4 linked regions of the Neurospora crassa OR74A genome follow. The protein of the gene in region 3 purifies or fractionates together with the protein of the main gene of each other region. This does not show direct contact. Links are inferred from orthologs where the notes say so. Each region holds a gene or a part of one and is shown on either strand. Other genes may lie near its edges.

Region 1 (3,390 bases), on a different chromosome or scaffold from region 3:
ACCAACAACCGACCGTCAGGACCGTTCCTCCGAGTTCCTTCTTAATTGTAGATCCTGTGGGGGGGGTTTTGTCGGGCTTCTATGGCCGCTGTTGATCCATTGCGAGTTCCGTTGGTGCCATTTGGCCTAACATCCAATTCAGTACTGGTAGACATGCCGTCGGAGCAACCTATGTTACCCAGGTAGGTTTGCAGTCGTGATTGCACCGACACTTAGGACTCCACTAAAAGCTCCTACCATCTTTGACCATAACTCATCCCCATTATATCTTTACCTATCGACATTTGCGAGACAAATCCTGCAGCGAGCTTCGGTATTTTGCGAACAAGAAGGTGCACTGACGCTCGTAATGGTACGTCAGTGGGGGGCCGCACTCCGGGCCTTTAAGTAGAGGTAGAGGTAGCGTAGGCAGAAGGTACTAGGAAGAGTGAAGCCCTGTTCCCTTCTTGACGTACAGTTATGAATGGTACTGTTTATGATAGGGAGCAACTAAACACTACAACTGGGCCACGCTTACCCTCAGAAGTACGCGTGTGCTTCCGCTACTATACCTAACCGAGCGACTTGTTACAAACTGAACCTCCCGTCCTGATGTCGTCCACACCGTATATTGATAATCATCATCGTGCATTGCACCGTGTTGCTCCTGAAGTACCGGTAGAGGTACGGTAGGGACAGAACAAAAAGTTAGTAGGTCAAATGTAGAGGTTCCTCAGCGAATAATCACCATGTCGAGCACCAGCCGGTAGGTACCTCTATACTCTACTACCTCTACATACCACATACCACAGGCCACAGTGCCAGCTAACGTAGCTTGCCAGGGGCTGGCGCTTGGTGTGTGAAAAATCCATGCCGTCCGACCGACCATCAAAGCCGCTGCGTAAAGACGTCAGAGATTGCGAAGGTCAGCTCGAACTGCGCAGTTCATCGAACGCTTCAGCCTGCTACGCAACGCTGGGAAATTTAAAGCAGACATTGCCCACACATACACACGTCCGAAATCCAGGCTGGGCCGTTCGGTTGCCGGGCTTGCTTCATGCTGAGGTTCCTCAGATCAAAAGCTGGCAGAGAGAATTGCTCAATGCTCCTACTCTTCAGCCTTGTAGTCGGGCTATGGTCATTCGTCTATGTGTCTTTCGCCATGGTGAATATTGATTTTGTACAATACGGTAGAAATAGGGGCTTGGTAGGCAGAAGCGTCAGGAAAAGTCGCCCATTCCTCTAGCAATCAATGGCCGTCGACCACGTCCCACTTTCTCCTAGAGGCTGTCGTCTGATCCTCATCGGGTCGGCGTTTCCATGTCTTGAAAAGTTGCTCCCAAGTCGTCATGTTTACTCCTCAGCCTCGACGTACTTGTGGCGGATGTCCTTCCATTGGCGCTGTTCTCCTCGTCAGCAACTGTTCCACACCAGTGTCAATTCAGTCGTAGGCTCGTACCCCCTTGTTGATCTTGTCCCAGACCTTGTCCATGCCGTTGTCATAGGCCCTAGATGGTGCGATTGTTCAGCGACACAAGATTCCCTGTTATATGTTTATACGACTGTCGTGGGTACGTACAACTCGAAGGCGAAGGCACCAGCGAAGACAGCGCCGACAAAGGCGGTGTTGTTGCGGAAGATGAGGCTGGGATGTACGTTAGCTATCGGTGCTCGATTTGGCTTTGGCCCGGGAGATAGGGTCGGGGCCGGTGCCGGGCCGATGGGGGTGGGAGGCGTGTGAGCATGCGCTCGGCGTTGCGGGGATACTTGCTTGTACAAAGCGGACTAAATTGGGAATGCGCGATTAGCATTGGCAGGTTCTGAGCCGGCGTGAGGGCGGAGAGATGCTCACCATTTTGGCAGATTTACCGAGGCTGTAAACGGTGGTTCAGCTGCGTCTCTGACGGTGACGTTGTGTGGGAGATGGGCGTCGCGAGCAATCACGATGTTTTTCGTTGCACTGGACAAAACCGACCCAGCGGAACCTAGAAGATCGCAGATGTCGCCGGCCGGAACCATCCGGAGCAAATGCAGCTCCCCTGATTGGTCAAAGCTATGACCCACTTTCTCCAGGTGCCTCCAAGGCTGCTGGCACCTCTCACAAGCGTGCCAAGCTGCAAGCGGGATCAACCTCGAAGCCACAACGTCGTCCTCATTTTCCAATCTCTTGCTTCTTCCTACAAATTTACTGATTGACGTGTCCGACGGATGCGCATCAAACTGTGCGCATTACGAAAGCAACAATCTCGACACGCGAGGTTCGAGCTCCGGCGAATCAACCATTAAACATTTATACGAAACTCACTACTTCCGAATCGTCGAACGGCATCGCCGCAACCCTAGCCGAACCCCTCATCGAACATCAATAATCCCACCACAATCTTGAACCATGTCTCAGCCAACAAACTCCGGCATCATAACTGACAAAAACGGCGAGCGTGTCATCCCCGAGTCTAAGAGAGCCGACGGGAGTACCAGAAAAGCTATCAAAGTCCGCCCCGGCTACCGCCCGCCCGAGGATGTCGAGGTGTACAAGAACCGCACCGCCGAGGGCTTTCGCCAGCGCGGCAAAGGCCCAGTGCCGGGCGCAGAGGGATTGAAGGAGGACAAGTCGGACCAGCAGCTCAGTGCGGCGGCTAACAAAAATGCCAAACGTCGGGAAGCGCGCAAAAAAGCCAAGGCTGCTGGCGAAATAGAAGGCGAGGATCAGAAGACAGCTGTTGCAGCGGCCCCTGCACTCAAGCCAGAAGAGCTCGACCCGGAAGCCGAGAAGGAGAAGAAGGCCCGGAATGTAAAGAAGAAGCTTCGCCAGGCCAAGGAGCTGAAGGACAAGAAGGATGGTGGAGAGTCGTTGTTACCTGAACAGATCGCCAAGGTTATCAAGATCAACGAACTCATCCGGGAATTGGATGCCCTTGGTTTCGACTCTGAAGGGGAGCCAAAGACCGCAAAGGCTTCGTCTGAACCAAAAGAGGACTCGACCTGAAGCAGGAAAGTGACGATCGAGGATAAAGATCATGAGCATAGGTCCTGGCCGGCAATTGCTATGGCCAAGTTACAGAGACACTGCTCCGCCGGTCCAATTGATGCGCCACACTCGATTCACGACGATCCCTGAACAATCCTTCAGCATGAGCCTAAACTGGGAAGCCTTTCGACACTCTTTGACACTGCACGCCGACCTTTGAGCCTTCTGCCGCTCCGCGCGCCCGCGTTGAGGGCCTGGGGAGCATGGGGTAGCTGTATGAATATGCCATGACGGGAAGTGCTGCTGCTCTGAACGTTGCGATCGGGTAAAGGCGAATGGTCCAAGGCGAATGTCCAAGGCAAATTGTTAAGATGAAAGGGACGACGACGATAAAGAGTGATGGTTTCGAATGCTGCTGGCTGTACAGGGTCTGTACAGTCAAT
Region 2 (4,013 bases), on a different chromosome or scaffold from region 3:
ACAAACACAGCTCAGGATCACCCATCACGCGATTTTGACCATGATCTTGTTCTCGCTCCAGCCGCAGAACCCGATAAGCTTGATCCCTCAAGGAATGGGCACAATCCATCATCATTTCCCATTCTTCCATTCCACGCATGAGACTCGGTTCCCAAAGTTTGCGGACTTCAACTGGTGGGGCGAAACCCGAGGTAAGCAGCGAGGCGAGGTAGTCTCGGTCTTGAGAGGAAGAGGAGAAGTCGACGTTGAAGTCATTGAGGATGTCATTGGCGAGGTCTGGTGACATGACATCGTTATATGGGAGGCGAGAGGCCTGTGATTGGGGTGGTGATAGTTTTGATGATGACATTTTGCTGGTTGTCAGTGGATGGAGAGTTTTGGATTTACATATGTGGTGTCCAGCAATCGTAGAATCAAAATGTGATTGAAAACTTCACGATGAGTTTGGGGTCAAGATGTTGTTGCTTGTCAGTGAGTGAATCGAAAAGGGAGGGGAGGGGGCCAAGACTTTGTTTGGAAGGCAAATCAAATGCCAAGCCAGGGGCATCCTCTGTGGCACTTCGTGCTGACATTTACCGTGATTCGGTGAAAGAGAGATTGCCAATCGAGAAATGTCAAGGCTTTCGAAGCTCATACTATATCTCAACTACTCTCGAAGTTAAAGGCGTACATGATGATGTAGCTGACAGGGAAATGGCCTTTACTCTTTGGCATCCGTTCAAATGCCCATGTCGTAATATCCGTATCCTGATCCACTCACATGCAAGTTCAGCTTGACCGTCATACCCATACCATCATACCCTGTCAGACACAGGCAATAACGTCTATGTTGTATTTGAGACCAGAAAATTTGATTTATACACTCTACGACCATCTTCATGTTCAACCCACACGCCCGCACATCTCCGCATTGCCCAGAGTTACCGATCCCGCCCCTGCCCATTCCTTTTCGTTTTGCTCTTTCTGACCGATGCGCAAGAGGAACATGGGGGAGCAAAATTTGGGCAGCAATAGTATATGATACATACACAGAAAAAGACAAGGAAAATCACGCACGTCTCACAACGGTTATTGTGTGAATGTCATGACTTTGCCCTTTGTTGTGGCAATGCTAAATTAGTGGCGGGTGGTGGACTCCTTGGGGGGATCGTAGACGATCTTCCTCGACTTGAGCCAAGCCCACTTGTAACGCTTAACATAGACGCTCAAGGCGAAGAGCACAGAGGTGACAACCAGAACCTTCATACCCATGCGCTTGCGGTCGTCCATCTCGGGCTCAGCAGCCCAGTTGAGGAACTCAACAACATCCTTGGCCATCTGGGAGGTGGAGGCGGGGGTGCCATCCTCGTAGTCGACGAGGCCGTCGTAGAGGACACGGGCCATGGCGATACCGGTACCGGGGAAGTAGGGGTTGAAGTTAAGGCCGGCGCCAACGGAAGCGCCAGCGGGAGGCTCATCGGGATAGCCGGTAAGGAGGGAGAAGATGTAGTCGCAGCCACCGTGGCGGGCCTTGACGATCAAGCTGAGATCGGGAGGAAGGGCACCGTTGTTGGCGAAACGGGCGGCCTCATCGTTCTTGTAGGGATCGGGGAGGTAGTCGGAAAGCTTGCCGGGGCGCTTCTCGATCTCGCCCTGGTCGTTGGGCTCGGTGTCGTACTCGTTCTCTTCGGCAAGAGCCTTGGCCTCATCGACGGTCAAGATGGTGCCGACAAGAGCGCGGTAGGGGACTCTGCTGAGAGAGTGGCACGAGGCGCAGACCTCACGGTACACCTGGAAACCTCTGCGAAGACTGCAGTCGGGCAAAAACAAAGTCGTGAGCCAGATAGTCATTTTGGATTGGAGGCGCGGCCTCGAATGGGCTGGATAGGAGTGGTTGCTTACGCTTGGTGATCAAAGGTCTTGAGCCACTGTTCGTGGACCCAGGGGTACTTGGTAGCATGGAGACTGCGTCAACGGTAAGCTTCGAGTCACTCCATGCCCAGATTCATGCCTATAGTCGAGCTCGGTCGTATATGCCTCAGAACCCATGAGGCAGACCTCGGTCCAGCGGCTAGAGCGGGGCGGATGGTCGGATCGATCGTAGGGGACTCACCCTTCCTCAGCCGGAGTCATGGCGGAAGCGAATCCATAGAGATGGTAGTACCAGGCGATCGAGCCGGCGGCGACGGCGGTGGCAGCGGCGGCAGCAATGTTCAGGCGGAGGGGAGACTCGGCAGCGGCGCCGGAGCTCTGGGTGGAAGCCGAACGCTGCCGGGCACGTCCGTTAGCTTTCCTCGAGGAGCGCGAGAGTGTGAAGGAGACAAGACAGGATGGCTCGGCCGGGGCGGGGATGGTCGGGCAACTGGGCCCCGGACCGGGAGCTCGCAGTAGGTTGACGGTAGCTCAAGCCGGCCCAGACCCAGCCATTCGAGTGGCGATGCGGCCGAGATCTGTTGTTTGGAGGGGCAGAGAGACGAGGACGAAAGAGTTGTCGAAGCAATCGAGACGAACCTTGGCAAATTTGAAGGCGCCATTTTTCGCGCTGGCAAAGGTGCGCGTCGAGCGCAGGCAGGTCCTCGCCAGCATGGTGGGCAAGCTGAGCGAAGCTTTAGGAAAGTATCGCGGGTTCGGGGGACAAGGCCAATTGGGTTGGCAATGTCGGTGACAGTATCAGGTCTGGCGGGCGGGAGGTCGAGCAGGTCCGTCCAGGTGCAAGGTCGGTCGATTCCCTTCACGTAGCGTCGTAGGTAGGACCGTAGGTTTCTTGAATTTCGGGAATCTTAGGAACACTCGCCATCTGATTGGCTGGGCCAATCACCGTGCAGCCTTTCGAGCTTTTACACTTCCCCTCGGCCCCGGCCGATGGATTTTCCGCACTAATTTACCTCATTCTGCCCGCGGGCCTCAGCGCTTTTTGAGACTACCTTGCTCAGTAAGGTAGACACCTCAGCGAGCCCAATCCCGACCTGCAAGTGGAAGTTTCACAAGCGACTAATCCAACTGGGCACAGCTGGGAGCTGGGCATCAGGATCAGGATCAGCATCAGTATCAGCATCAGCATCAGCCAGCATCGCCCCATGGAAATCATAAATGTCCAAGCTCTCGCTGCCCGCGGTCCGCCCCTTCTGTCTTTTCAGCTCACACGGCGACCCAGCGTGACCGGACCTAGCCGAGGAAAAGCTGCCAAGGAAAGCCAGGTTTGAAGCTATACACCACACATACATACCTATGCCGTGGCCCCGTAATCGCAGGTGAAGCTCAGATTTGGTCACCACGGCTATCACGCTTCACACCAACACATCACCACAATTGCATCCCCAAAAAAAAAGGCAACGCAAAACTGTAGTCGAACATGGACGATCCTAGAGATTATCATCGAAAGAAATCCAAGGTAATTGTTTCGTTTTGAGATCCAGACCCGCTCCATCTTTTACCATCTTCTATTGTCTCGACGGCCATTTCCCAAGATGCATTAATACACGCTCTTTATCAAAACACACCACATGCAGAAATGTCAGCTTTTGTGTTCCCATCCCCGCGCCAGCATATATTCGGCATCCCTCACTTAGGGTTCGTGAACCCCTATCAAATGACCCATAAACCATAAAGCAAACAAGACCAGGAATTGGCATGACTTAGGCAGCGGCGTTCTTGCTCAGGACTTCTCTCCTCTTTTTGACGGCCTGCGCAAGCGTGTCGAGAGTGGCGACAGTGTCCTCCCAGCCAATACAAGCATCAGTGATACTGACACCGTACTTGAGGCCGCACTTGCCTTCCTCGGGCACCTTCTGGTTACCTGTACGTTGTGTTAGCGAACAGCTTCAAATTTAGACGGTCATATGCCCCCAATAAAAAAAATAAACAAAATAAAAAGACTTGCCCTCGTTGATGTTGCTCTCAATCATGACGCCCATGATACCAGTTTCGCCGTTCTCAAGTTGTTGCGCAATTTCGGCAGCGACCTTGGGCTGGTTCTTGTGGTTCTTATTCGAGTTGCCGTGGCTGCAGTCAATCATCAGGCGCTGGCGCAAGCC
Region 3 (4,073 bases):
TGATGGAGTGTCTGTGGGGAAGGATGGGAGGGTGATGGAGTCTGGTTCGAAGGTGGAGGGTGAGGGGACCACAGAGGGGGAGGGACAGGGACAAGAGGGGGAAGAGGGGGAGGGGGGAAAAGATGGGAAAGAGGGGGAGGGGGGAAAAGATGGGAAAGATGGGGAGGGAAAACAAGAAGGGAGAGAAGGGGAAGGGGGGGACAGAAACAAACATGGGGAGGGGAGTAAAGAAGGGAATAACAAGATGGCAAAGGAGGAGAAAGGAGTGGGAATAGGAGCGAGTAAGAAGAAGAGAAAGGTAGGGAAGGTCATTGCTGGCGATGATGACTCTGATCAAGAGCAAGATGGGGATGCTAAGGAGCCAAAGGCAAAGGCTGAGGGTACAGATGCCAAAGACCAAAGCGGAAAAACGGAACAGGCAGGGGAGAAACCAAAGCCCAAGACGGCCATGAAGAAGGCTAAGAAAATCAAGCTTAGCTTTGGTGATGGTGATGAGGAGGGTTGAGATGCCGTCGTTATCGGGCTTGGGCGCTGGAAGTACATAAACACCGACGGGAGAAAAAAAAGGGGGGCATGCCGAGAGGAAGGTGTGTGTTCAAGGCTAACAACCACGTCGGCCGGCGCATGTCCCAATAGCAAGTGGAAGGGCGCAAGATGCGCGACCTGGTGACAAGCTTGCGGATGACGAGGGATGCAAAGTCCGAGTTTGTCTATGCCGTTATGCCTGGAGTACTACCCAAGAGCTGTCCGGAGAAAAGCAATAGGGAGCTGTGCCAGAACGTCGTTCCCGATCCTGCGGTGCTCTGACTCAGTGCCAGGCAGAAGAAGCTATCTTGGATGGTCTCGAGTCTTGTTGCTCGGTACCGCAGAGAAGGTCGAGTCTAGATGATTCTGCGAATGCACTCTGAGCAAACAGCCCTAGTAGCAATCCTGAATCTAGATACTGTCACGCCAATCCAACCTCTTTCGAGCTTCTCGATGGTATATACAATTCCATGTTCAGTATTTATTTGGCCCCAGGGTTCTAGGTAGAAATCTACAGCTCTAGGTTCCCGAATGCAAGTCCAATGAGGTAACAACCACCTACCCAGCCTCATCATCACCCCCGTGTTCTCCAGGTTCGCATTCACAGTGCTTGCCTCCCAGTAAACTTGTGTCATATGCATGCATCGTATTTGTCAATGTCTTCTTCTATTAACAACCCACTACACAAAAACCTCAAACCTCCCTTTGCAAACCCCACAACTGGGTAATTTACCAGTACTCGGGCTTGACGTAGTCGGCAAAGGTCTTGGGCTCCTCGAAGCCGTGGTGGTCGTGGCCGTGGTCGTGGGCGTGGTCGTCCTGGGGACCGACGTAGTCCATCTTGTAGACGTTGCCGCACTCGGGGCAGCGCTCGACGGGGCGCTCGCGGGTCATCTATTTTTTGGTTAGAATACTCAATTTGAGCGGTAGAAGAAACAGAGAAGAGAAAAAACTCACGGTGAGCCAGATGACGTTGTGGGAGTCGGCAGGGAAGCCAGTGCAACCGGCGTACTGCTCATCACCGGCGGAGCGGACGGAGATGGGGTTCTCCATGGTGCCTATTTTTCAACTGTCAACCCCCCAGCTCCTCTCAACCCAGGTTATTACAGCAAGTCTTACCCCTGCGGGAGGCATCAAGGGGCTTCATGTCGAAAACGTCGACGCCCTCCATCTTGCCGAGAATTTCGAGACGCTCGAGACCGGTGGCCTGCTCGAGATCGGTGGGGACAGTGCCGGGGGCGGCACCGGGGCCGAAGAGGTCATCCTTGGTCTTGATCTCTGTTTGTCGCGAAAGGTATATATGTCAGTCATGTATGTTTTTTCGTCGTATGCGGTTTCGTCCGTCACCCCGCATCGTCATGGAGCGAGTGGAGGCTATAGGGAAGCTGGGCTGAACTGAGCTACCCGGCCGGTGGAAGCTGTGGTAGATAGGGGAGCCTCAAGCTTGAGCTGGTCGAGGAGCTTCTTCTCCGGTTCGTCCGCGCAATGATAATAACCCCCTCCTTTTTGTGGTCGTCCAATGCTTTCCTCCTCCTTCTTCTTGTTGTTTCATCAAGCTCCCCCAAGCTTGACTAAGCTCAGCTCGAGCTTCGAAAGACCCACCACAGCTTCCAGTTCGCGTAGCCCAGTTCTCCAGCAACCCCAATAGACACAATGGTGACGCAATCGCCGGCGGGGGGAGATCATCATACCGGAGAGACGCTTGATGTGGGGGACAGGCTTGGTCTCGGCGTTGCCTGGAATCAAGATAAAAACATGGTGTCAGTTTTGCGATCGGGATTCGGGGGTTTGTGATTGATGCGCGTTTGGTTGTCGCGAATTGGTTCGAGGTGGTGGTGGGGTCATGATGTCGTCGTCGTTGGTGGTGGTGGTGGTGATGATGCTTATGCGCGGATATTTGCAGCTTCGCGATTGGAGCTTTTTTGGATGCCGTGCTTTTTTTCAGGCCGCAGCCGCTAAAAACCAAGAGACGTTTCCAATGTTCACTTACAGCGCACAACGGTGGTGGCGATGCTGCGACGGAGAGCGGGGGCAGCGGTGGCCCGGCGGGCGACGGCGACGGCGGTGCGGGACAGGAGCATGTTGGCGACGGCGGCGGGTGGGTGGTGGTGGATGGTGTGATGTCGGAGTGACAGAATTGACCGGGAGAGAGCGGAGAGGCGGGAGATGATGTTTTGTCGCTGTCTGTCCGAATCCGAAGCTGGTTTGCCCACACTGCCGTGGGTCCCACAGCTGAGCTGGGCACCACTGCAGTGGACAGAGGCCCCGACCGTGCTGCCCTTCCCTTCTGCCGCTGGCAACTGGCGAACGGGCGGTTGTTTGGTACGAATGGAGGCGCTTGGACCACATTCTGGAAAGCTTCCCCAGCTGGTTGCCAGAAGCAGCTAGCGCACGGTCAGGTGATGCAGCACGTGGGACCGCTCATATCATCAGTACTGTACCATGAAGTGAAGCGACAATTGCGTGATGAATACATGGCAAGAGACTGTGTGAAGCAATCCTAGGTTTCAATTGACTTGGGTACGGCATAGATTATATAATGATTGAGCTAACTGGGAGCAGAAGGAAGAAGGTCTTGATGAAGCTATTGCAGGTTTGACTGGCGTGACCCTAACCCTCCAAGCCCCAATCAAACATCGACAATGCTCCACCCCGTCAAACGGAACTCGGGCTTTCCAGCTTCAAACTACCGGGCCCAATCCGGCTTCCGTGTCCGATAGTGGATCCCCGGATCGGCGCCCTGTGCAAGTTGGAGCGGCACCATTCCGGAAGTGTGCAAGTTATCTTATCCAACTAACTCACGAACGAGAACACAACACAACAAACGATCCACAGCTTCTTCACCACAGCCGGTAACCGCCACCGGTCCTTTGTCAACTCCCTCCCCTCTCACCTCCACCCGCTCCTTGAGAAGGAGGAGCAGAAAGGAAAGTGGTATCTGAAGTTGTAGGGGCTGGGTGGTTGTGGAAGAGGTGGAGGCATGCATGGCAGTGAAATTTCGCATATGAGAGTCGGGTTCGGAGTTTGGGACGCCTGGGAGCTTACACAACACTCGTATTTTACCTTGTTCAACATGGAGGCTCAAGACATGGAAACACACAGGACGTCTTGTTAAGCACATGACCACGCCCTACAGCTACGTACTCCTCTCTCTGCCTCCTACCCACTAAGTAAGATTCTTACCTACATGATACCACCTCCTAGTGGCGGAAAATTCCCACCTCCCGAACACCACCATCCCCAAACCCCAGAGTCCTGTCCCATGGTTCTCGCCCTGTTGAGGCACAGACGATGCACCCCGTTTTTTGTTTCCCATTTTGGAAGTTGGGCAACTGGGGTATGCGGGGAGCCCGTCATGCAGTTACTGTCGTTTGCTTCAGTTGAGCGGTTTTCAGGGTCTTGGATGTCACTCACGTGGTCGATACTAAAACCGGCGATGGTGCTGGATGGCTTGCATACCCCTGACTGGATGAGGATGAGGTGGGTGTCGAGAAACATGCGATATGGAATGGTGAGACAGGGGCTTAAGTCTTGGAATATTCCACGAA
Region 4 (2,763 bases), on a different chromosome or scaffold from region 3:
GCCCTGCAGTACTGCAGGGGGGGGGGCGGGTAGCCTTTTAAACCTAATTAACCTATAAAAATAATAATAATTAAAAGCACCCCCCTTAAGGGGGGGGTGCTTTCCAGTTAATGGGCCCCCCGCCCCCGAAGGGGGCGGGGTCCCCCGAATATTGTTTATAATATAACCCACCACCTCCCGGATGTTCCACTCCACTCGCTCCCCCCCGCAAACCTGCGGGGGGGGGAGCGAGTGGAGTTAATTCCGTTCCACTCCACTCCCCCCCTTAAGGGGGGGGGGAGTGGAGTTAATTCCATAAGTCATCCTCTTCATATTAGAAACTTTTTATCGCTACCCCCTCGCTCCCCCCCCGCAAACCTGCGGGGAGGGGGGGAGAGATAACCACTAGATGGCTTCATACTCAAATACATAGGGCCCCACGAATACCCCACACACCTTCGTGTGTGGGCCGTATTCGTGGGGTCCCCCGAGTTCCTTTATTTAGCCAAAAACTATTTTATCGTCTTACTGTTCTTCTAATCAAGTAAGGAATTTTTCTAGAGATACTGACTCTATAACTATAGGCATAGAACTGTGTAATATACCACAGATTTCAGAGCATTGACCATAGAATACTCCTTCTCTGTTAATAAAAACAGATACTTGATTTAATCTCCCAGGATAAGCATCACATTTAACACCTAAAGATGGAACAGCGAAGCTATGTATCACATCACCTGCAGTGATGATAAATCTAACGTGTGTTAGTTCAGGAAGGATAACTCTATTATCCACCTCTAACATTCTTAGTGCTCCTTCTTCCAAATCGGATTCCGGTACTATATATGAATCAAATTCTATAAATTCATCATTTGAATCTAAGAAATCAGGATATTGGTAACTTCAATATCATTGGTGCCCCTCTGCTAAAACTGACATTGAAGGATCACTAACTTCATCCATTAAATATAGCAACTTAAATGAAGGGAAAGCAATTAATATTAATATTACTGCTGGAGTAATAGTTCATATTAATTCGATTAATGTACCGTGATTTAAATATTTATGTGAAATTGGTGATTTTGTACTGATATAATTTCTTATTATAGATAATAAGATTCATCCTACACCAAATAGTATTACCACCAGATAGTACATAATATTGTCATGTAATTCAACTAAACCTTCCATCTGAGGAGTAGCACTATCTTGAAAATAGATACCTCATGGGCTTGGAGCATCAAAATTCATAATTAAATTATTAAATAATAATCCCATAAAAAAAGAAATAGAATATTCTATATTGAATATTAAACCATAATAATAAATATATTATATCTTTTCATAAAATATAGAATTTAAATATAACATTAAACTGTATTGTATATTAAGGCTAGGCTAATTCTTATCCACTAACGAAGTATACCCTGTGCCTAATGGGTTTTTATAGCCTGCTGCTCATAAGGTTAGGCTACGCTAGCGTCCTTTGTTTTTTCGGGGGACCCCGCCCCCTTCGGGGCGGGGGCCCAAAAAAATGAATTACCTTCGCTCAGCTTCGCACACTTCGCTCACTTCGCTCAGCTTCGCTCAGCTTCGCTCAGCTTCCCTCCCAAAAAAGTACCACCCTCCTCCACTCGCGTACCCCCTCCTTTGCTCAAGGTCCCCATCACATTTAATTATGCCCCCCTGCAGTATTGCAGGGCGGGGGAAAGATGGGGGCCGCCAAGGGGGGGGTTGAGTGGAGGAGGGTGGTCGCGATATTATGGCTAGCTAAATTATTAAGGCTGCTTCCTGCCTGCCTAGACTTCGTAGGCAGGAAGTAGGAGGGGGCCCCCCACGAATACCCCACACACCTTCGTGTGTGGGCCGTATTCGTGGGGTCCCTCGAAGCTAGCTAGCTAGCTAAGCAGGAAGAGCAGCCATATTTTTTATTTAAGCAGCCATACATCATTTTATTCCTAATCTCTATCATTACTATGCAACATAAAGAAGTAAAAAAGCCATCATCAAAGCAAATAATCCTGTCGCTTCCGAGAAAGCAAAACCTAAAATTGCATATGCAAATAATTGACTTTTTAACGAAGGGTTTCTTGAAACCCCTATTATTAATGAGCCAAATACAACTCCAATACCTATACCAGCTCCGATTAAACCTGTGGTAGCTAGCCCTGTTCCTATTATTTTAGCTACTTGTATCATTATATATACAATGGTGGAATCAAAAATTAACTAGAATCTAGTAACCTCTTCAATTCCACCACCGCAAAGCAGCAAATACCACTGAGGCTCCCGACAACAGTGTATTTACTGCTGTTGCAGTATATCTAATGATAATCAAGTAGCCATTAGGCTATCCCTAATGGCTACAATAATCATACGATAGCTAGCCAGTATATAACTGGCTAGCTATCGTAATCTTTAGTACATTACATATAAAGATTACATTACAATACATTACATTACATTACATGTAATGTAACATTACATTACAGTTACATTACTGTACATTATATTACATTACAGTTACATTATATTAAGTTACATTACAGTTACATTACAAAATATTACATTACAGTTACATAACATTAAGTTACATTAAGTTACATTACATTACATTAAGTTAAGTTACATTAAGTTACATTTTATATTATCTATCAGATGATTACATTTGCAGTACATAGTGGATATAACATTACATTACATTACATTACATCATTACATAGCATAATGTATCATCCATCATTCCCCTTACGTGATACGTACCAAATTAAATCACACATTAAC

Evidence for each region.
Region 1: the proteins of cox-4 (region 3) and NCU03233 purify together in Saccharomyces cerevisiae (affinity purification with mass spectrometry; 3 studies listed by BioGRID). This does not show direct contact. The link is inferred for Neurospora crassa OR74A from reciprocal best matches to the Saccharomyces cerevisiae genes COX4 and QCR9.
Region 2: the proteins of cox-4 (region 3) and cyt-26 purify together in Saccharomyces cerevisiae (affinity purification with western blotting; 5 studies listed by BioGRID, with this or other methods). This does not show direct contact. The link is inferred for Neurospora crassa OR74A from reciprocal best matches to the Saccharomyces cerevisiae genes COX4 and CYT1.
Region 4: the proteins of cox-4 (region 3) and NCU16028 purify together in Saccharomyces cerevisiae (affinity purification with western blotting; 7 studies listed by BioGRID, with this or other methods). This does not show direct contact. The link is inferred for Neurospora crassa OR74A from reciprocal best matches to the Saccharomyces cerevisiae genes COX4 and COX2.

What each region holds. Positions count from the first base shown.
Region 1 is NC_026501.1:4,990,463-4,993,852, reverse strand, and holds NCU03233 (hypothetical protein), read right to left. Parts: upstream 1,960-3,390; 5' UTR 1,835-1,959; coding exon 1,832-1,834; intron 1,765-1,831; coding exon 1,751-1,764; intron 1,625-1,750; coding exon 1,559-1,624; intron 1,488-1,558; coding exon 1,439-1,487; intron 1,381-1,438; coding exon 1,333-1,380; 3' UTR 505-1,332; downstream 1-504. Other genes in the region: NCU03232 (RNA binding protein Pym), read left to right, coding at 2,369-2,965. UniProt on the Saccharomyces cerevisiae protein: Component of the ubiquinol-cytochrome c oxidoreductase, a multisubunit transmembrane complex that is part of the mitochondrial electron transport chain which drives oxidative phosphorylation.
Region 2 is NC_026501.1:4,144,764-4,148,776, forward strand, and holds cyt-26 (cytochrome-26), read right to left. Parts: upstream 2,800-4,013; 5' UTR 2,566-2,799; coding exon 2,491-2,565; intron 2,248-2,490; coding exon 2,093-2,247; intron 1,945-2,092; coding exon 1,882-1,944; intron 1,790-1,881; coding exon 1,117-1,789; 3' UTR 505-1,116; downstream 1-504. Other genes in the region: mbp3 (methylated-DNA-binding protein3), read right to left, coding at 1-349; aro-7 (DAHP synthase), read right to left, coding at 3,615-3,775, 3,860-4,013. UniProt on the Saccharomyces cerevisiae protein: Component of the ubiquinol-cytochrome c oxidoreductase, a multisubunit transmembrane complex that is part of the mitochondrial electron transport chain which drives oxidative phosphorylation.
Region 3 is NC_026503.1:514,248-518,320, forward strand, and holds the start of cox-4 (cytochrome c oxidase polypeptide IV), read right to left. Parts: upstream 2,811-4,073; 5' UTR 2,607-2,810; coding exon 2,516-2,606; intron 2,262-2,515; coding exon 2,217-2,261; intron 1,804-2,216; coding exon 1,645-1,803; intron 1,584-1,644; coding exon 1,483-1,583; intron 1,420-1,482; coding exon 1,255-1,419; 3' UTR 506-1,254; coding exon of another isoform or gene 1-505. Other genes in the region: NCU05688 (hypothetical protein), read left to right, coding at 1-505; NCU16615 (hypothetical protein), read left to right, coding at 3,788-4,073. UniProt on the Saccharomyces cerevisiae protein: Component of the cytochrome c oxidase, the last enzyme in the mitochondrial electron transport chain which drives oxidative phosphorylation.
Region 4 is NC_026614.1:58,023-60,785, reverse strand, and holds NCU16028 (cytochrome c oxidase subunit 2), read right to left. Parts: upstream 1,258-2,763; coding exon 505-1,257; downstream 1-504. Other genes in the region: NCU16027 (ATPase subunit 9), read right to left, coding at 1,954-2,178. UniProt on the Saccharomyces cerevisiae protein: Component of the cytochrome c oxidase, the last enzyme in the mitochondrial electron transport chain which drives oxidative phosphorylation.